4 linked regions of the Schizosaccharomyces pombe genome follow. The gene in region 2 interacts genetically with the main gene of each other region. Each region holds a gene or a part of one and is shown on either strand. Other genes may lie near its edges.

Evidence for each region.
Region 1: mutations in bzz1 (region 2) and mss1 together harm fitness less than expected from each alone (positive genetic interaction), as found in Schizosaccharomyces pombe (one large-scale study listed by BioGRID).
Region 3: mutations in bzz1 (region 2) and atp12 together harm fitness less than expected from each alone (positive genetic interaction), as found in Schizosaccharomyces pombe (one large-scale study listed by BioGRID).
Region 4: mutations in bzz1 (region 2) and cbp7 together harm fitness less than expected from each alone (positive genetic interaction), as found in Schizosaccharomyces pombe (one large-scale study listed by BioGRID).

The regions. Positions count from the first base shown.
Region 1 is NC_003424.3:950,412-955,343, forward strand, and holds mss1 (GTPase mss1), read right to left. Parts: upstream 2,557-4,932; 5' UTR 2,193-2,556; coding exon 2,043-2,192; exon of another isoform or gene 1,984-2,042; coding exon 643-1,983; 3' UTR 501-642; downstream 1-500. Other genes in the region: Ino80 complex subunit Ies6, read right to left, coding at 1-240; nuclear HMG-like acidic protein Mak16, read left to right, coding at 2,702-2,763, 2,817-3,663; eIF2 alpha kinase Hri2, read right to left, coding at 3,944-4,932. UniProt on the Schizosaccharomyces pombe protein: GTPase involved in the 5-carboxymethylaminomethyl modification (mnm(5)s(2)U34) of the wobble uridine base in mitochondrial tRNAs.
Region 2 is NC_003423.3:2,463,891-2,469,616, reverse strand, and holds bzz1 (diacylglycerol-binding protein Bzz1), read right to left. Parts: upstream 3,590-5,726; 5' UTR 3,445-3,589; coding exon 3,406-3,444; exon of another isoform or gene 3,362-3,405; coding exon 3,335-3,361; exon of another isoform or gene 3,281-3,334; coding exon 3,217-3,280; exon of another isoform or gene 3,166-3,216; coding exon 3,045-3,165; exon of another isoform or gene 2,967-3,044; coding exon 1,930-2,966; exon of another isoform or gene 1,884-1,929; coding exon 1,527-1,883; intron 1,484-1,526; coding exon 1,219-1,483; intron 1,151-1,218; coding exon 1,132-1,150; 3' UTR 878-1,131; downstream 1-877. Other genes in the region: SPOM_SPBC12C2.04 (NAD-binding dehydrogenase family protein), read left to right, coding at 1-556; ATP-dependent RNA helicase Dbp5, read left to right, coding at 3,759-5,270; srm1 (spermidine synthase), read right to left, coding at 5,521-5,726. UniProt on the Schizosaccharomyces pombe protein: Plays a role in endocytosis and trafficking to the vacuole. Functions with type I myosins to restore polarity of the actin cytoskeleton after NaCl stress.
Region 3 is NC_003424.3:1,485,887-1,490,133, forward strand, and holds atp12 (F1-ATPase chaperone Atp12), read right to left. Parts: upstream 2,305-4,247; 5' UTR 2,170-2,304; coding exon 1,401-2,169; exon of another isoform or gene 1,352-1,400; coding exon 1,245-1,351; 3' UTR 977-1,244; downstream 1-976. Other genes in the region: SPOM_SPAC9.11 (uncharacterized protein), read left to right, coding at 1-1, 60-976; cwf16 (splicing factor), read right to left, coding at 2,884-3,696. UniProt on the Schizosaccharomyces pombe protein: Essential for the assembly of the mitochondrial F1-F0 complex.
Region 4 is NC_003423.3:1,841,112-1,846,122, reverse strand, and holds cbp7 (protein Cbp7), read right to left. Parts: upstream 2,757-5,011; 5' UTR 2,663-2,756; coding exon 1,592-2,662; 3' UTR 1,120-1,591; downstream 1-1,119. Other genes in the region: U3 snoRNP-associated protein Esf2, read right to left, coding at 1-961; Rho-type GTPase-activating protein Rga4, read right to left, coding at 3,357-5,011. UniProt on the Schizosaccharomyces pombe protein: Translation factor for cob1/cytochrome b; plays a role in cob1 mRNA stabilization and required for correct folding of the protein.

The sequences.
Region 1 (4,932 bases), on a different chromosome or scaffold from region 2:
GGGATCTGTGTAAATAGCCAGTAATCCAGTAACATCGCAATATTTCGGTTGAGGGAGGACACTAGGCGGTGCTTCTATCGATGAGTAAGAAAATTTGCTTGGTTCATTTTGTACTGGGTCATTTTGAATAATTTGTCGTAGATTCCGATTTCGCCTAGGTTGTGCTTTATAATTGGGATTTCGAAATGGCCTTGCAAGTAAACTGATGTCTAAACTATCGACAGAACTGTTTTTTTCCATGAAACTGATAATCTTGATGATTTGGCTATGGCAAATTGAAAGCCGCACTTCTTCTATGTATCGTTGTATCCTTGACTACCATTACTAAAGGTTCGTCTGATGTCGTTAATTCAGCTCAAGCCATTAGTGAACGAGTATTAACACGCCCTCCTTAATTCTAAACTCATTAGCTGCTAAATTGTAAATACACATATTACGTGAAAGCAAATAAATTTGATGAATAAATAATTCAATATTTTGTATTTTGAAGTTTTGAACGCGTTTAGAAATGTAGACTTTTACCAATAATACCATGTTGTCTGTCCATTTTTCTCTAAATAAACTAACGAATTCATAAATAAGATGAGATTTTAAGTTGCAGCTTAACATTTGTCAACGAGCTTGCATAATTGTACAAATGCATTACTTTCCAACACAGAATTTTGAGAAAATGACAGAGAAAACGTTTTCCATGTCGACTGCCCCAGTTACTCGACCTATGTCTTCGGTAGCTAGCTTCACCTCTTCGGCAGCAACTACGATGTCTGAGCTTTTTTGCAGGGCCAAAGAAAGATGGCTGGAACAACTTGATAAACATTGACGCTGACGTTCATTCCAACCCAAATTTGCTTGAATTTTATTATTAGTAAGAGGGTTGACCATACACTCGAAAGTAGAGGAAAGAGCTTGCAAGAAATCAATAAGTCCTTCTTTTGTTTTGCAAGAAACTGCATGTATTCTATTTTCAGGAATCAAAAAATTTTTCTGAAGATAAGCTTTAATGGGCTTAAACATAGTTGTGTAATCCGAAACGCAGTCGACTTTGTTTATTAGAAAATGAATAGGTTTTCTTTGACGAAGGCAATCTTTAATGGTTTCCAAAATTTCTGACTGTTTTAAAGATTCGGAAAAAGAATGGTAGTTTATGGGAAAAACAAAAAGTGTTAACTGGGATTCTTCCGCCCTGGCTTTCGCAATTTCAATACCAATTTTCTCAATTTCCTGAACGTCTTCTCCTTTTCTGAGTCCTGCTGTATCAGAAAGCAATACTGGAAATCCATTTATATCTACTAGTACTTCGATAGCATCTCTTGTCGTTCCAGATTGAGGACTTACAATTGATATTCTGCGGTTAGCTAGTAAATTAATTAAACTCGACTTCCCAGCATTGGAAGGCCCAAGAATAGCCACATTAATACCTTTCCTCAGAACTTCTTTACATTTTCCTCCCTCTATATGAGCGTCTATTTCATCTTTCATTTCATTCAATTCCTCAAACAACTTGATCGTTTCAATATCGTCCAGTTCATGTTCTTCTGAAAAATCAATTGACGCTTCCAAAAAAGCACGATATTCGATAAGCTTTTTTCTCCATCGAAAACAAATATCATAAATGGAGCCATGTGCTTCTTTATTTGCACTGTAAAGTTGTTCGGCTGTCTGCGCATTGATAACGTCTATTAATCCTTCCAGTTGCGTCAAATCTGCACGACCGTTATAAAATGCTCTTTCGGAAAATTCTCCTGGCTTAGCATAGCGAATATTCGGAATTCCTGACTGCTTTATGGCTTCAAGTGTTACATCCACCACAGCTGTCCCTCCATGTAATTGCAATTCAACAACATCTTCACCTGTAAAAGATGAAGGCTTTTTAAAATATAACATCAATGCTTTGTCAATGACTTCAGAACGCACTGGGTGTTTGATCGTCCTCAGGGACGCTATACGAGGTTTTGGCACACTTCCTGCGAGTGTTTTTGCTACCTAATATTAGTTGTTAGTAAATGATCGGTTTGTTCTAGATTTATAGACATTTGCCTTACCTTGCATGCATTTGGGCCAGAAATACGAACAATTGCAACAGCAGATGTACCGGGAGGAGTTGATAATGCATATATAGTAGGAATTTGATGAACGAATCTTCTAAAGCATGCTTGAAAAGTATTTAAAAAGACTCGATTTAATATTCGCATGCTTTTTTATCTTCCAACATTAGTTTAACAGTAGTAAATTGATTAATTATCTCAAACAAGACTGAAGATTTGACGTTATTAGTTGCTTTGGTAGTTAACTTCAAAATTAAGCAGTAAGCTTCTTAGCTTATTGCAAAATTATACATACGGAAGCAATTATCTAATCAATCAATCAACAGTTTAAAAATCAAGTATAAATGATCGTAAATTGCAATTGAAGAATTTTTAGGAGATTAGCAAGCCAATATAGTTAATGAAAAGTATCAATGGTTATTAATAAATCATCGAAACTAAAGAAGGATTAATCCCAAAAACGAACGCTACACCAAACAACTAAACAACTGTAATTTAATGTTGGATATCTGCAGTCTACTTGATCCATGCATTTGCACAACATTACTTACAATTTTTCCCGTTAATAATATTTACCGCATTCTCTTAAAATTCGTTATATGGTTGATTCTTGAATTTGTTAATTGGATTTTCTTTACCAAGCGCCATACTCGAAAATGCAGCAAGACGAGGTGATTTGGCAGGTTGTAGGTCATGAATTTTGTTCATATAGGATCAAGTAAGTTGATTTCGCACTTTTAGTATTACATTATAACCTAACACAATTTTTAGAGGGGAGGCACAAAATTTTTGCAGAAATGAATACAATGTCACTGGGTTGTGCAATAGACAATCATGTCCATTGGCTAACTCCAGATATGCCACAGTACGGGAGGATAATGGAAAGCTGTATCTTTACATGAAAACTATAGAACGTGCGCATTTTCCATCGAAACTTTGGCAACGGATAAAGTTATCAAAAAATTACGCTAAAGCGTTGGAGCAAATTGATCAACAGTTATTGTATTGGCCTGGTCGTCAAATCCACCGCTGTAAGCAAAGACTAACCCGCCTCACTCAGTACCTATTGAAGGCTAGACGATTGGCATTAAAACACCAACCAGCATTAATTCCCATTAAGCCTAAACAAGCGCATCGTGAAGCTTCTCGTGAAAGAAAAGCACTTATTGCCGCCAAATTAGAGAAAAATATTGAAAAAGAATTGGTTAAGCGACTTAAAAGTGGTGTTTATGGTGATCAACCTTTGAATGTTAATGAAGAAATATGGAACAAGGTACTAGCCGCACGTGAGGGTTTAATTGATGAAGGCGAGGAAGAGGAGGAACGAGAAGAAGCTGAATTAGAATTTGTTAGTGATGATGAAGATGAAGAAGAAATCTCTGATTTGGAAGATTGGCTCGGCTCAGATCAGTCCATGGAAACTTCAGAGTCTGAAGAGGAGGAAAGCTCAGAGTCTGAATCCGATGAGGATGAGGATGAGGATAACAAAGGAAAAATCAGGAAACGTAAGACCGACGATGCAAAGAAATCCAGGAAGAAGCGCGCTCCTCATATTCATATTGAGTATGAGCAAGAACGTGAAAATGAAAAAATACCTGCTGTTCAACATTCTTGGTAAAAAAAAAAAAAAGGTTTTGAATGTTATCTTTTTTTAAGGGATTCTGTTCAATAGTTTTTACTTTGTCGTTTTTATTTTGGATTATTTAGGTGTATAGATATGAATGGTTTTAATAATAAGGAATTTATCGGAGCTTTTACAAACAAAATTAGCTTTAATGTATCCTTGCTTTATTTTATTACTTGTGGCATAAAAGCGTTAGATATAAATAATGCTATACTTTCGGGAAACTGAACAAATTGACTGGAAATTTAAGTATTAAAAAGTGAAGATTTTTAGTTTAGCGGGTTTCAAGATGTTGAATCCTGGATCGTAGAACAGCAATTTGTTCACGCAGTCGCTGATTTTCATCCATTATAAGTTTCATTTGAGTTTCAACATCCAAGTGGTTTGTTGATACAATATTTGATATATTTGGCATTGAGACTTGGTTAGGTAATAATAGTCCACAATTGAGAACTTCCAGAAGTGATGGTCGCTTCGTGGGGTCTTTGGCTGTCATCCATAAAATTAAACTTGACTCACAAATATGTTGCTCAACGAACTCTTCAGGAAGATTTCCTCGACGAAGGTCTTGAAGTTTTGTTGCACGTTCCATATTTGTTTGAAACGGGTGCAACAGCTCAAACAAAACCATTCCTAATGAGAATGTATCGATTTTTTTTGTAAATTTATTATGCTGAGAAGACATAGCATCTAGCAATTCCGGAGCCGCGTAAGTTGCAGTGCCTATATGCTGAGTCTCATCTTGCAGATTAGGCAAGTGGTTTCGTTCAAGAAAAGAAAGTGCGGTTTCTGTGTTTTTTTTATTTTCAACAACGAGTCCAAAATCACCAATCTTAGGAGTAATGTATTCTTTCAAATCGTTTTTATCATTATAACTAATTAAAGGAACAGACCCACGGTCCTCCGGTAAAGATTTAGCAAGAAATATATTGCTGGGTTTGATATCTCGATGGATCAAGTTCACACCTTCATGTACGTACATAACGCCATTAATTATCATTCGGAATAAATCCGTATGCAGTTGTATTTGTTCCTTACATAGTGGGAATGAAAGAAAATGGTTTCTTCTTATTAGATAGGACTCTAGATCATCAAAGCAAAGCTGCATTTGAATATAAATAATAAAAGAATGAGTGGGTCCAGTTTTAGATATGTGCATGCTACTAGAATAGTCGTCATCCAAGATGGTGGTATTATTAAAAGTAGAAACATTAGAGTCATGAAGATTACGAGGGCTTTCTAAATTCTCAAAGTTAGAAGATT
Region 2 (5,726 bases):
ACATAATAACAAACTTTTCTGGTGGTACATGTCAAAGTCTGGTGGTCCCGTCGTTGAGCAAGCTACACATTTCTGTGATTTGTCCATCTATTTCGGTGGTGATGTCGATACTTCTACCGTCAAGGTAAACCGTGTAAACTGGTACGACCCTTGTGGAAAATTAGCTAAGGTTCCTGTTGACGAGGAGTCCATTCCCAAAGAGGAGCGCATCCCCCGTTTCACCGCTGCATCATGGAAATATAAGTCGGGTGCAGTTGGTATTCTCGCTCATAGTATCATTTTACAAGGAACGAATTATGACACTTGTCTAGAGCTTCAAGCAGATGGTCATTATGTTCGTATGGTTGACTTTTACGGTCAACCCAGACTTTACATTCGTTCTCCTGAGGCTGATAGCGAACGCATTATTAATTTCCCCGAAGATGATCCCTATTATAATGAATTTGATGCTTTCTTGGGTGTTGTCCAGGGCAGATATCCTCCTAGCCGCATTTTGTCCAAGTTTGACGACGGCGCTAAGACATACGAGTTGACGAAGATCATTACGAATAATTAAAGTATAGAAGAATTGAACACACAACTTTTTTTTCCTTATATTTTCACCATTTTGGCTTTTTTCTCTTTTTCGTTACCTTTCATGAAAGTTTTCCCTTCGTTATCGGGAATGTTTTTAGACTTAGTTCCAATATCACATGTCGTTTATATGTTTGTTTCAATTTGCAGATTACTTTTGAAAATGTACGATGACATATCACATCCTTCGATTCCTCTCTGTTGTAATGACAATGTGTTTGTATGTATTCGTTAAAAAATTGTTGATCAATTTTCTCGTAACGCGAAACTGTATTCTTCAGTAAACATAAATTTTGGTTACTAACGAAAAAAATATAGCATAGTTCAATTTAAAAAATTTTCCTTAGGCATAGCATTTAGTATAGTTATTATAAATATCTAAAATTCAAAAAAAAAAAGATCAATCTAGCAAAAAAATACTTTGGTGTATCGACCAACTACATTGTAGTGGATAAAAAATCGTAAGTTATTATTGACAATTTGCTTTTCGTAATACATAAAGAAGGTAAAATTTATCAACAATGAAGTAGATAATATTCATATAGATATTTCAATGGTTTATACATCTGTAACATAACTAAGACATATGTTAGTTTTTGTGCAAAGAAATGGAGAAATGAATAAAAAAAAAAAACAAAGACTTACTTAGCTGGGAATTGACCGGTCACTCCATTAAGTATCCCTTCAGACCATCCGTTTCCAGCGTTTCGATTTGTGACCTGAATTATATCACCCTCTTGGATTGATAATTCCATATCGGATTGAGCTGTGTATGCATATAACGCCTTAACATAAGAAGAATCTCCATCAAGTGTCACACTCGTATTTAATTCATCATTCAATTTAACATAAGAAGCTGGAATCAAGCCATCAGTTCCATCGATTTTTACTCGAACCCAACCAGAGCCATCTATATTGATCTATTAGAATGGGATTTTTCAAGCTTTACTTACCATCTGGTTCAAGTAGCGTAAATTCCTGTCCTTCAGAAGCTGTGATTACCCCTTCATGTTCCCCGGTAAAATCGTAAAGAACTACACCGTCAACCTTTGACGCTGGTTCAGCAGGCGTTGTTTCTTCTGTTTTCACGTTGCTTAAGGAAGTTTGATAAATACTACTTGAATCCATATCATCTGTGTATGTGTTACGATAGGATTCATAGGCATTTGAAGACGACGCAGAAGCATCAAAATCATCAGTGGCAGTAACACTGGTATCTACAGCATCATCGTCGGCCACTTCGGGCTCACCATTTTTGCAGTTGGCGGGAACAAGAAGTTCACACCTTGCATGGCATTTGAAGCCACAATCTACACGTGTTTTGTTAGTTAACGAAAGAAAGCAAATATTTCGTACTTTTGCAAACACATCCACGCTTCGATAACCCCCAAATAATTTCACGACAGTAACTGCAACTTGTCGGAAGTTTAAAACTAACATGTTTGAAATCATGAAAACGACCTCCTTCTTCTAAATTATTCGCAACTGACGTGATCTTGTTGATACGAACCTCTAAATCTTCTATTCTGGCCTTTACCATGAGCTCTTTCCCTTCTAGATTTATCGAAGCCTTTTTAGATTCAAATGACTGGTTAGCACTATTTGGATCATCGACGCGTAAACCTTCCAATTGTGAATCTAACGATACAAGCTCGCCTTTCTGTTTTCCAAGGTCATTTTTGGAGTGGACCAGTAAATTTCGGAGGTAGTTTTTACATGAACCATCCACCACCAGTGCATCCGTGTCATGCCAGATAGGACTAGGTTCAAAATGCAAGTCAGCAGGAAGTGCCCAATTCTTTGAATTGTGCCTTCCGAACATGGCAGAATCAAGGACTGGTTCATTTTTTGCAATTTCTGATTGAATTTCAACGGTTCTTTGGGATAAGGTATCATGGAGAGACTTTTCAATTGAAAAGCTGTTACACCATATTTCATTTAAATTCGAAACCCTGTATTCGTTCAATACTTGCATATGATTAAGGAGCGTTGGTAGAGTTTCATTATAAAACTTTTGCTTGTGGGCGTTGTATACAAGCATACGAAGTAGGTATTTATTTTTCTTATCGAGCATATCACTTTCAGATAATTTTAAATTTCTTTGAGTTTTTTGCTCTCGATATTTATCGTTTTTTTGCCTTGCGCTTTCTAAATCATCGCAGGCCTCATGGTAACTGACCTTGGCTCTCTTCACACTGTTTAACAATGTCTCCTTTTCGGATGAGAATTTTTTATATAAATCATCATAAACTTTTCTTAAAGCCTCTATATGAGACTCTAGTTTCTTCAGTTTTTCAGCAATGTCCAATGAATAGTCATCGGATAGCTTTTGATGAGTTTTTGATGAGCGCGTTAACTCATCCAAAATTTTAGACCATGTTGTTAAAGAAGCACTATAAAATTAGCCTGTGAACAGGAATTCAATATCCATCTAACTTCAATTGCTTGACAGGTTCCAATATTTTACATACCATTCTAAAGAGCCAGCAGACATTGCCGGAGTATCTCCGACTGAAAGGGCTGATGATTTTCTGGATTTCTTCTCCCCATATTTATTCGAAAGACTGGCTAATTTCTGAGCATATTCTTTTTCTAGCAACAAAGTTAGTCATTGAAATTTAACCATTGTCGTTTCTTATTTACCAATAGAACTTCTTTCTTTGTAGTACAATTGAATATCTTCAAGCCATTTCGCGCCATTATTAATCTTTGTTACAATGTGTTAATTGTTGAACTGTCTTCATTTTCATTCTTGGCATACCCAACTGTCGACAACTTTAAAATCGTCCTTTTATATATTAGTAAATATGCCAAATAACTAAAACACCTTACGTGAAGTTCATCACTAAATTTGTATGTTTCCAGGCTCATTATCCAGTATTATCTACACGTTTGATATCGCTGCAATAAAAATTTGTACCGGATATAAAACAATTAAAAAGAAAGTTTGACGGAAGAAATTGTGACAATTTTTGGCTTTACGTTACGAATGTTGATGAAAAGGAAGTACGGTGGTGAATCGAAACCTATATTGTTCAACTTTCACTTAAGGAGTAACTTAGCAATCACCAACTACATTGCCCACCAGAAATTGTCATCCAGTTTGCTAAGTCATCCTTGCTGAGTTTGGATATCTGAACTATAAATTTGATTTTTTTTATTTTTTTTACTAAAAAACATCCAAAATGTCAACTACACTGGGACAGGAAAGCAAAACTGACTGGGCTAGTTTGGACTCTGATGAAGAGGTTCAAAGAATTAGTGATAAAGTCAATCAGTTAAATACTTCAGAAAATAAAAATGAAGATCAAAAAGCAACAAATTTAAGTGACAGATTAGGTCCAAAAATCACTGAGAATGTTGATGCAAAATCTGAGCAAGACAAAGCGACCAACACGATTGCAGAGGACGCCAATACGAAGCAATCTGAAAATGATGAATCTAATTTAATACCAAATAAAAACGAGGTTCGTGTAAAATTAGCAGATCTACAGGCTGATCCAAACTCACCTCTTTTTTCTGTTAAAAGTTTTGAAGAGTTGGAGCTCAAGCCCGAATTATTAAAGGGAATTTATTCAATGAAATTCCAAAAACCCTCAAAAATTCAAGAGAAGGCGCTTCCACTTTTACTCTCAAATCCTCCTCGCAATATGATCGGACAATCACAATCCGGAACTGGTAAAACCGCTGCATTTGCATTAACGATGCTTTCTCGTGTTGATGCTTCTGTTCCCAAACCTCAAGCTATCTGCCTCGCTCCTTCTCGTGAATTGGCCCGTCAGATTATGGATGTCGTGACGGAGATGGGCAAATATACTGAAGTAAAAACAGCTTTTGGTATTAAAGACTCCGTCCCTAAAGGTGCAAAAATCGATGCTCAAATTGTAATCGGAACGCCTGGCACTGTGATGGATTTGATGAAGAGAAGACAGCTTGACGCTCGCGATATTAAAGTATTCGTGTTAGATGAGGCAGACAACATGTTAGATCAGCAAGGATTAGGAGATCAATCTATGCGTATCAAGCACCTTCTTCCTAGAAACACTCAGATTGTTCTTTTCAGTGCTACCTTTTCGGAACGCGTTGAAAAGTACGCTGAACGTTTTGCTCCCAATGCTAATGAAATTCGTCTGAAGACTGAGGAGCTTTCTGTTGAGGGAATCAAGCAGTTGTATATGGATTGCCAAAGTGAAGAACATAAATATAATGTTTTAGTGGAATTATATGGGTTATTGACTATTGGTCAATCAATTATATTTTGTAAGAAAAAGGATACCGCTGAAGAAATTGCTAGGCGTATGACTGCAGATGGACACACTGTTGCTTGTCTTACCGGTAATCTGGAAGGTGCACAACGTGACGCTATTATGGATTCATTCCGAGTAGGTACTTCAAAGGTTTTGGTTACTACGAATGTAATTGCTCGGGGTATCGACGTATCGCAAGTCAACTTGGTTGTAAACTATGATATGCCTTTAGATCAAGCAGGAAGACCCGATCCACAAACATATCTTCACCGTATAGGTCGTACCGGTAGGTTCGGCCGTGTTGGAGTAAGTATCAATTTTGTTCACGATAAAAAGAGTTGGGAAGAAATGAACGCCATTCAAGAATACTTCCAACGTCCCATCACGCGAGTGCCTACAGATGACTACGAAGAGCTTGAAAAAGTTGTCAAGAATGCACTTAAAATGTAAAGCATGTTGATTTTTAGAGATTATTTAATACATAGGTTTCTTGGTACCAATTACTAAAGGAATATTATTTACTTATGCTGGTATTTCACTGGTTTTTTTGCATATCAACTACCGAAAGAGAACGTAATCTCACTTACAAAAAGTAGAGAGCAGAAGTGTGAAAACAAAGAAAAAAGAGTATACATTTTGACTTAAGATTGCATTGATTAAGACGTATGAAACTTTAGCCAAAAAAAATAAAAATGTTTGCTTAAGAGGAGGTAGCCTTGTCAACGACATCACGAGCAAAGGTAGGAAGAACAAAGGAAGCAGCATGAATTTCACTGTTATAGTACTTACAAAGCTTATTCTCTTCTTCGGGAGACCACTTGCGAAGAGGCTTGCTAAGGTCGATGGAAGCATCCTTGGAGGCTACAACGAAGCCGATAGATCCAGAGGGATAGGTGGGGATAGTAG
Region 3 (4,247 bases), on a different chromosome or scaffold from region 2:
GGTATGTAATGCCGTGTGTTTTTAATGGAAGATTAATAAGTTAATAAAATAAAATACAGATGATGAAGATATGGAAATGGAGTATCCGTTGCGTTCCTCTACGCCCACAAAAGTAATAGACGACCAACGAGAAATCTTGCTTCAGAAAGCATCGCGAATCTCTAAATTAGACGAAGCGCTTTGCGAGCTTAATAATGAATCTAATGGCTCAATAGATTTATCTATTGACAGCTTCATACCATCTTACGATGAATTCTTGCATAAAAAACTACTAAACGAGGATACTGGTCATGAAAGCAAAGTATCAGACCAAGTTAAGCAAGTCATCAGCACTCCTATGAGCACCTGCTTTGAGCAGTGGTTCGAAGGAGAAGAACAATCGTCTACGGGGAACAATCAAGATATATCCTACTCTAGCGTCAACTCTCTATCTCCAAAAAGACGAGGCATCTCTCTTATGTCCATTGATGCTAACAAATTGAGTCCTAAAAAAACTTCCCCAAATTCTGGATACATAACATCTCCTTTAAGGCATCCGATTTTACTTTCCGAAACAGAACCTGGAACCCCAACAAAAAATGATTCACCTGCTTATATCGGATTACCTTCACAACCCAATAGTATAACTACTTTGAATAACACTAACCAGAAATTCCAAGTTCCTGATAATGACAAACCACCTATGTCTTCATTAAATGAACTATCTGCATCCTACAAGCCTATCGTATTCGACTCTTCGCAGCATAAAACTCAAGGCACTGACAATAATGACTCTTTTTACCACGACGATACAAATTGCATTCATCTTTCACGTTTAGAAAAGATTCGGGAGCTTCTCACATTCGTACAGTTGGAACTTAAATATTATGTAGAACCTCTTAAGAAAGAATTACAAGAGACAAAGACTCTATTGGCTCAAAAGGAAGAAGAGATATCTAACCTAAAAGATAAATTACAAAATGCAGGATTATCTTAATTTATTCATTTACATTGATTCATGAATTAATTTTGGGTACCTTGTCAAAACAATTTGGTCTGAAGGATAACTGACATAATAGCTCAGCATATTCGACATGAGGAAACTAATTTAGAATTCTCTGTTCAACGACGGCAACATTACTCTATAATTCTAATTTGGCAATGTGCAGTGTTTTAAGTAAACAGTTGTAGGGTTCTCTTAATTGAGTTCACCCAGAGGGAGCTATTCCAAAAATTTTGTAATTTTTTGAGTTTGCGTATAGCCGTTAGTGGGCATGTTCATTACTTTTGTCATGCATGTCTTCTATGCACCGTGAGAGTATTGCCGAGCTGGCCAACTTATTCTTAAGATCCTCATTGTCTATTTCGTGAGCTGCAGTTGTAAGTATTTAACATTAGAATAATAGAGAGTTTATACATACCATCTTCCAAAGAGCCCCATCGATTTGTTTGGTACTGAAGTTCTAAGTTCGTCAAAGCGGCAGCTTTTTCAGAGTTCAAATATCCTTTTAAAATCATGAAAGAAACTATGAAGCTCTTGCAGCAACTAACAGATCTTTCAAAAGCTGCTAGTTGCCAAGAGTTCAGCGAGCTGAGCCAGTTTCTTATGCGTTCGTGTGTTTCCTGCGTTTGTTTATGGGCAATAATACCAGCATCACCATCCAAATAGCTTAATTGCACACCAAGTTTGTTTTCAAAGGTTTCTTTCAGTGGCCACCAATTTTCCTTTTGCTCCTCCAACAATTTCCCTTCATATTCTGTTTCGGGGGAGTAAATTAGAATTGTGTCGGTGTCAAGGAAACGAATTAATTGAGTAGAAAGTAGTTCCTTTTCTTCTTTTTTGAATTGTGATATGTCAATAGCTCTCGAAACTAGGGAAGTAATTGGGAGATTGTGTTGTCGAACAGAGGTTGATGGTAATCGATCCCATTCTAGGGCAATCAAGTGTGCTAGTAACTCCATTTCTTTAGGTACCTTAACAATCTTCCCAGAAGGTGATTTTAAATTTCGTCCATCTAATTGAATCAAGACTTCTCCATTTTGGATTTTGGTAGCTGTATTCTTCCAAAATCTCCTGAATGATGGTTGCGGCAAAGGAGAGGAAGCTTTTGTAGAGTAAAACGAATAGCACGTTTTAAATGACAGCAAGTTTTTGCTGGATAATCTGTAAAATTGTAAAGATCGAAGCATCTTACAAAAATAGAAAAAAAAGGGTATTCAAGGTGTCTATCTGAGACACTAAAAAATCTTTCGTACTTCAAACTGCCAAAATTTAATTTTTAATTATTGTTTAAGAGTTAATTATTATGATATACGTTTTTAGTTGGTGTTCTCCAAAATATTGGTTACTATGTAAGATGAGTCTAACAATATTTTGTCACAGGCATGATGAGAATAAGTTTTAATATTTTTTTCTAAAAGTAGTTTTTAATTAAGCAAGAAAAAACTCTTTTAAAATAAATTAATAGACGTTCCTATCATAGTTCCTAAACCGTTGTTTACGTTAGCCGCCTTGAATTTAGCTACGATTAAGACTACTTTTTGACAAACCGTAAATGTAAATTGATAAATTACAATTAGATACTCGGAAAATTAGAAGGAACCTTAAAAAAAATCAATTAACATGTGCTGTTAAAAACTTAAAGTTGAAGAATAGATACAAACAAAATAAAACCTTTCTATAAATGCTACGGTATTATTCTACATAACAAACTACATTTACTAATCGAATAATAAAAATTAGAACAGGATATTGACTATCAACTCGCGTTATGAAAATCCATCAAAAACTCATTAAATATTATTACAATAAAAACCTTGCGCTGGTACAAAAGAACATGTACATTTTTAATAGCTTAGCTATAAAAAATGCAAGTAATTAAAAAATTTAGCCATTTATAGACGTTATACCAAAACCTTTTTCTTCTCCATTTTCCTTTTTGCATATTTTGGAGGCTGAAAATTCGGTATATTGGAAGTGGCCAGCTTCTCAGAAACCAAATCTATAGGTTTGGGTAATTCTTTTTCAACCGTTGTTTCTGCATTCAATCTTCTTATAATTTCACCATCCTGAGACGAAAACAACGATTTAGCTTCACGATCAATTTCTTCTTCCTCAAATTTCCGCTTTTTGGACTCCTCTTCTTCAATTGATCCATATGCATCTTCCTTTAAGAGAGCGATTGCATCATCAATGTTAACTCGAGACCTTCGAGCGCTCTTTTCACGTAGTTCGTCGAGTGCATCACTAATTTGCATTTGTCGTTTAGTGTCTAATGTTTTTTGTTCTAATTTTTCCATTTCGTCCTCCTCAGGAATGTCATTGCGTTCAGCTAACTCATTTTCTTCATATTCTTGTAATCTTTTTTCATGCCACGGCTCATAATTCCTGGAAGCTCCACTCTCTGCTGCATAATCTGCATGTTTTGGATCGGTTATAAATGTTATTTCAGCAGCACACCTAGTGCAGCGAATATAAAACCTCAATATATCAATTGAAAAATATTTTTCGCCGGTTTTCTCCTTCCTAGCGTTAAACTTTTTTCCTTTATATATATACTCTCCACAAGTATGACAGCGCATTGAAAATGGAGTCATCAAACGAACAGTCAATTTCCCACCATTTGGTCCTTGAAACTTTTTCTTTTTCTTAGGAGGACGAATGGAAGGATCATAATCGGGCGGGATATACTTGTTAAGTACCTTTCGTTCAGACATTGTTGGAAACTATGAAAAAAAAATGAAATGAACGTACGAGAATTGCTTTACCAAATTCAAAAAAAAAGAATAAATTAAAGTAAGGAAAATTTAACCGTCCTTTTGGGTTGGAATTATTTGACTTTACAGATGAATTTGAAAATGCTAGTTTTATGTGGATATGCGCTTTTTGTAAGCGAATGGCAAAAGTACTAGTACTATCTGTAGTTCTTTGACACTCGATACGTCGCGGTAATAAATTGAATGCGCACATAGCACTACGTAAACATATTTAGTACCATCCTTATATTTCCTTATACAATACCTGAGCTGAGCTATCGAGACGTGAGCAAGCGTTGTTTGTCAATCTTACACCTTCCGGTGTTTTAAGAGTACTTTAGATTCCCTTATAAATTGTGTATTATTTAAATGCTTCTGATTAATTTTGACTGATCAGTCTCCATAGTACTTTACGCTTACAGCAATAGACAATTAATGGGGTTGTTGGCATTAATGGCAGGAATAGATGATTTATATGAACTTGGTTAAAAATCGCTGTATTTCAGCTTATG
Region 4 (5,011 bases), 620 kb from region 2:
CATTGTCTGTGGGCATATTACGATTACTGACAATGCTTTTTTGACCAAAGAAGCGGCGGGCTTGCTTGCTTGGCTTAGTATCTTCTGATAAGTCTTTTGTTTCTTCAGGAAACTCTGTAGAGACATTGAGTGTATCTCTTTCACTTCGCTTTTTACGAATACCTTCAATCATTTTGGCATTTTCAACATTTCTCATATATTGTTTTAACTGCTTGCGACCCTGCTCAATTTCAACCTTCAGGCGAGATTCACGGGCGGCATTCTCAGCAGCAATTTGTTCAGTGAGATGATGCCATTTAAACTTAGGAAGATATTTCATGTTCCATATATCATCGTGATACCAACTGCTCTTTTTACCACCAATTTGATTTGTATTAAGCAATTCTGCAACTGATTTGGCAACGCGTTTGCTTTCAAATTCAATCCAACCTTCTTCATACATTACTCTTTTATTTCCGCCATTTCTCAGCCTTTGTGCCCTCTTAGCTGATGACTCAGGTGTTAAATATACCCTTCCAATTTTTCCATACTGAGAAAGAATTTGTCTAAGCTTGTTTGGTGCCATGTAAGGAGGGATACGAGAAAGATATATAACTCCTGAACGCTTAATAGCTTTTCTTTGCTTTTCAACTTCTTCAAGTGATATTTTTTTTATAGAATTTGCATTTTTTGTGGTCTCCTCATCCAGCTCATTTTCAGAGCCGCCTGAAAAGTCTTCATGGTCTGAAGTTTCAGACTCGAACGTGGAATCTCTCCGGAAGCGATCAAGATGGGCATCTCGTTCCTCAAGCTCATCGGCGGAGCTTTCAGATTTGACCTTTAAAACGTCTACAACTGGTTTTGTTGATCTTGAGGAACGAATAGCTTTTAAAAATCGTTCATCTTCTTCATCTTCACTCAAATCTTGGTCAACGTACTTCTCTTCTTCTTCGGCCCCAAATAATTGTTCAGCTGTAGACATATTTGGCTAATGATTTGCTTGTTGGTTTACTTTTCAATCTAAAAGTTAAGAAGTAATCTTTTAAAGAAATTCTATGCCACAACAACTTAATCTTCGAAACGCCTAAATTGTAGAAATGAAAACTTCTATACACTCGAGTTTCATGAATTTCAAGTGACAATAAATTGTTACCTAAAAAGGAAAACCGTGAAAAAAGATGAGAATGAAATGATTTTAGTAATATTTTATGTTATTTATAACTAACATTTTTCAAGTTAATGATCTATGATCAATAAAAAGGTAATAGAGGCTGTTTGCAATCTCAACAAAGTATAGGTGTTCAAATTATTTGAAAGATGAGTGAATCCTCGAAGATAAACAAAGGAGTGACTAAGAATGAAACATCATGGGGGAGTGGTTATAATTGACAATGCTTTATCTGAGATACAGTAGTCTTCAGTAGCTTTTGGATCAGGCTAAGAATTAAATTTAGCGATATTTTATCCCTAGATTTCTTTTGCTTTTTCTTTTTAACATAAAAAATTGAAAACAACCTTCTCTCGAAATTATGGTGAATTTATTAGAACGGATTGAACAGTTAAATTACCAGTAGATGGAATATGTTCGGTCAATTTTTCACCTCATATCAAATCAAAGCACTAATTTGGATACATCCTTATCAAAATATTCCTTTTCAAGATGAGCAAGACGCTTTCTTGAAATTATGCTATGAAACGACTGTTTATCGGGCTGAAACACTTTAGCATAAGGCGAATCACAAGTATAACAAGTTTGCTTTAAGAATGTAAATAGAGAATCATTACTGTCAATATGCTTTAAAGCGAACTTCAGTAACTCCTTAACATGAAGCAATCTTTCCCTAGGATCGAAATAAACTTGAGGACCAATATTAAAAAATTTGCATGCTTGATTTTCAGAGCTTTGAAGTAACAAGTGGGGAGAAAAAAATGATTTATCAAGAATATGGAAATATGGTAATTTAGAAAGTACTTCGATCCACGCATTCGCAGCTTTTTGCCTGAGTAATGGAGTAGGAAAAATTTGAATTAAAAAAGCCATAGAGTCACATAACTGTGCAGAAAGCATCTGTGAAAAATTTGAAAAATTTACATAGTCCCTTTCAAAGGAACCCATCAAGTCAAGTAAAGGGGACCTTTGGTTTAACGGAAACTGTTTACAGGCTCTAGCTACCGTACACTTCTCCAAAGGTGTACGAGGAAGTTTGCTAAGGTTGAGACGATAACTGAAAGAATCACTAATTAAATTAAATGGAAAAGATTTGAATAGAGTTTGGAACCTGCCAAGGTATATTCGCGGTCTGGTTTCAGTCTTTGGAAATAAACTGTAGCAATCCTCCCACAAGGAAACACTTTGATTTAAAAGTACAATGGTACTAGTTTCATCAAGACAGCTTCCAAATCTTTTCAAAAGGCTCCTTGTTTTGGTGATTTTAGAGTCCACAAGTAGGCATTCTATATGTTTGGGCTTTTGACTTCGAAGAAGAATGTTGTCAACTCGTTTAGGAATTGCAGATGAATTTTTTTTATAAACAATCGCCTTTGGCTCTAGCATTTTGCTGTGCAGCTTACAATGGGTTAGGATAACCGGTCTTTGGTCAACTGGTTTTTTTATTTGAGACTTTGCGACGAACCAGCCGGCTTCAGTCGGGCCCAAAATGCATCGTTTAATAACATCTGCCATTAGTAAAATTCCGTAATTTTGTTCACATAGATAATAAAATATCCTGCTTAAAGACCCTCTTTTCTCAAAAAAAAGTGGTAGTAAAACAGGAGTTGGTTTTTTGTTAGACGTTCGAAACTCTATTTAACCCCCTTCAAAAAATTTACCATATAACGTATATAATTTTTGTTTATAGGAATTGCTTTTGGTTTTTTAGAATTCCATTAAGATAATGGGCATGATATATCTACAAAATCACTTACTCACAATACGTTGCACTAGCATTTCCTAAGTTAGGGATCTTGGGAAAAAATGCTTCTTTAAATCCTTGAAAGCATAATAAAATTAAAAAAAAATACAAATTTCTCCTTTTTTATACATGCAATTGCATTTTATTCATAGCCTAGCATTGTGAGTAATGCCAAGTAGACTAAAACAGGGAAATGATTAAATAAAAGCGATGGATGTCAGTCTGCAGTGATAATGCATTATGAAGAAGCTATACGCCAAATCCATAAAACACTCATCTGCCACTGATTTCACGATGACATCTAAAAATGACCAAAAATGAAACTATCTTAGCAAATGCAAAAAGGAATCTCGATATAACTGCCCAAAGTTATGGTACAACTACTAAAACAACAAAAAAAGACGAATAAAGAATATAAAGGAACGTGCAAAACAAAAGAGCGAATTATTAAAGGATAGTGTGAATTTAGGCAAAGACTTCATGTACATGATCTATCAAAAACGCAAGACTGTAATTCTTAACAGTCATGTCAATAACGTCTCTGGAATTATCGGGGTCGCGTATTAATGTTGGGGAAAATACTACTGCAAGGTTCTTGGATGTCATTCGATTTGCATGACTATATGCAGCAACCCTTGCTAAATGTCTAATAATGAGCTGCAAAATTTCAGCATGAGCTGGAGGAAGACTTTTGATGACCATTATAAAACCGTCTAATTTATCTTGGAAAGAGGCACAATTTGCTGCTGTGATGAACGGAAAGTATTGGTCATAGGTAATAATTGGATTAGGAAGGTTGCGAAGATATTGCTTGAATACAGAAGTGACAGCAGAAATATCCTCACTTGGATCAAGTACCGTATCTTCATTTCTTAGTAACGCAACAATTTTTTTCATTTGAGAAGTTGCCCCTGATTTGCGATACAGACCTTCAAAATCCATGCCGTATGACTCGATAAAATTTATACAAGAAACGATAAGCGTCGGGACTCTCAAGAGTGTTAGCCTGTTTTGATCGAAGTCGTCAGGATTCAAAGCCCAAACAGGAGATTCGCTTTTTTTAGATTGATACTGACGATCTATAGTAGAACTAACGCAATCCTGATAATGTGCTCTAAGCTCATTGGAGTATTTACCGCAAAGTTTGCAGTGACCGACCGCTGGAACGAAATCCTCTTGTTCTTCAGAAGCTAAATGTTCTTCAGAAATACTGGGAGTACTCGACATGTGAGGAGAATCTCTTTTCCAATGAAACCGTTTAGAAAATGACTTCTTAAGATCTATTTTAGAGTTCCGTTTGTTATACCCTCCACTCTCCTTGTCTTTATTGTCTTTGGGTCTAAATCCAAGGCTAGATGCAACCATTTGTAGACGCGAAAACGATTCTCGCGGAGACGGGGTTGAAATCGTTCGGTTGGATTTTTTATCATTATTAAATATTCCGAAAGAGGAAGAAGTTCGCTTCTTATGCTGCTGCTCCCTCAAGTATGCCAATTCTCTCTCCAATTGATTGTTAAGGCTTACCAGTTCTGTGTTCTTAACATTCAGATATGCGGTTTCTTCCATTACAGTGCTGTAAGCGTTTTGCAATTTAGAGACAGTCGTAGACAAAGCGTCTCGCCTCAAAAGTAAGGTAGACAGTTCAGGTTGAAAAGATTTCCGTAAATAATCTAATCTATAATTTAAATCTGCAACCAACTCTTGCTTGAAAGCTTCGGGGGACACGGGAGTCTGCTGCTCTATGATAGAAGCCAACGAAGTCGCTTCCAACAATAAGGTTCCAACCTCAGCTTGAAGCTCTGAAATACGAATGGCGAGTTCATTTGCGCTTTCCTCTGTAGCATCAAATACGTTTGAAGTAAACACATCACTTGCTCTAACCAAAGAACTTCGATTGTATTCAGGTTCACATGCTTGATGCAAACTAACTTGCGACAAATTTAAACTTTTGGCCCGCGGGGAAGCCTCATAATTTGAAGAGTTCGTCAATCTTTTCTTCAAGCCGTTTGGTTCGCTACTAAGTCGTTTGTCATCTAACTTATTAAATACCGTAGGATATCTAGGAAATCTAGCCTTTGTAGGAGTTTCGTCGCTTTCCAATCCGTTAACGTAATATTCGT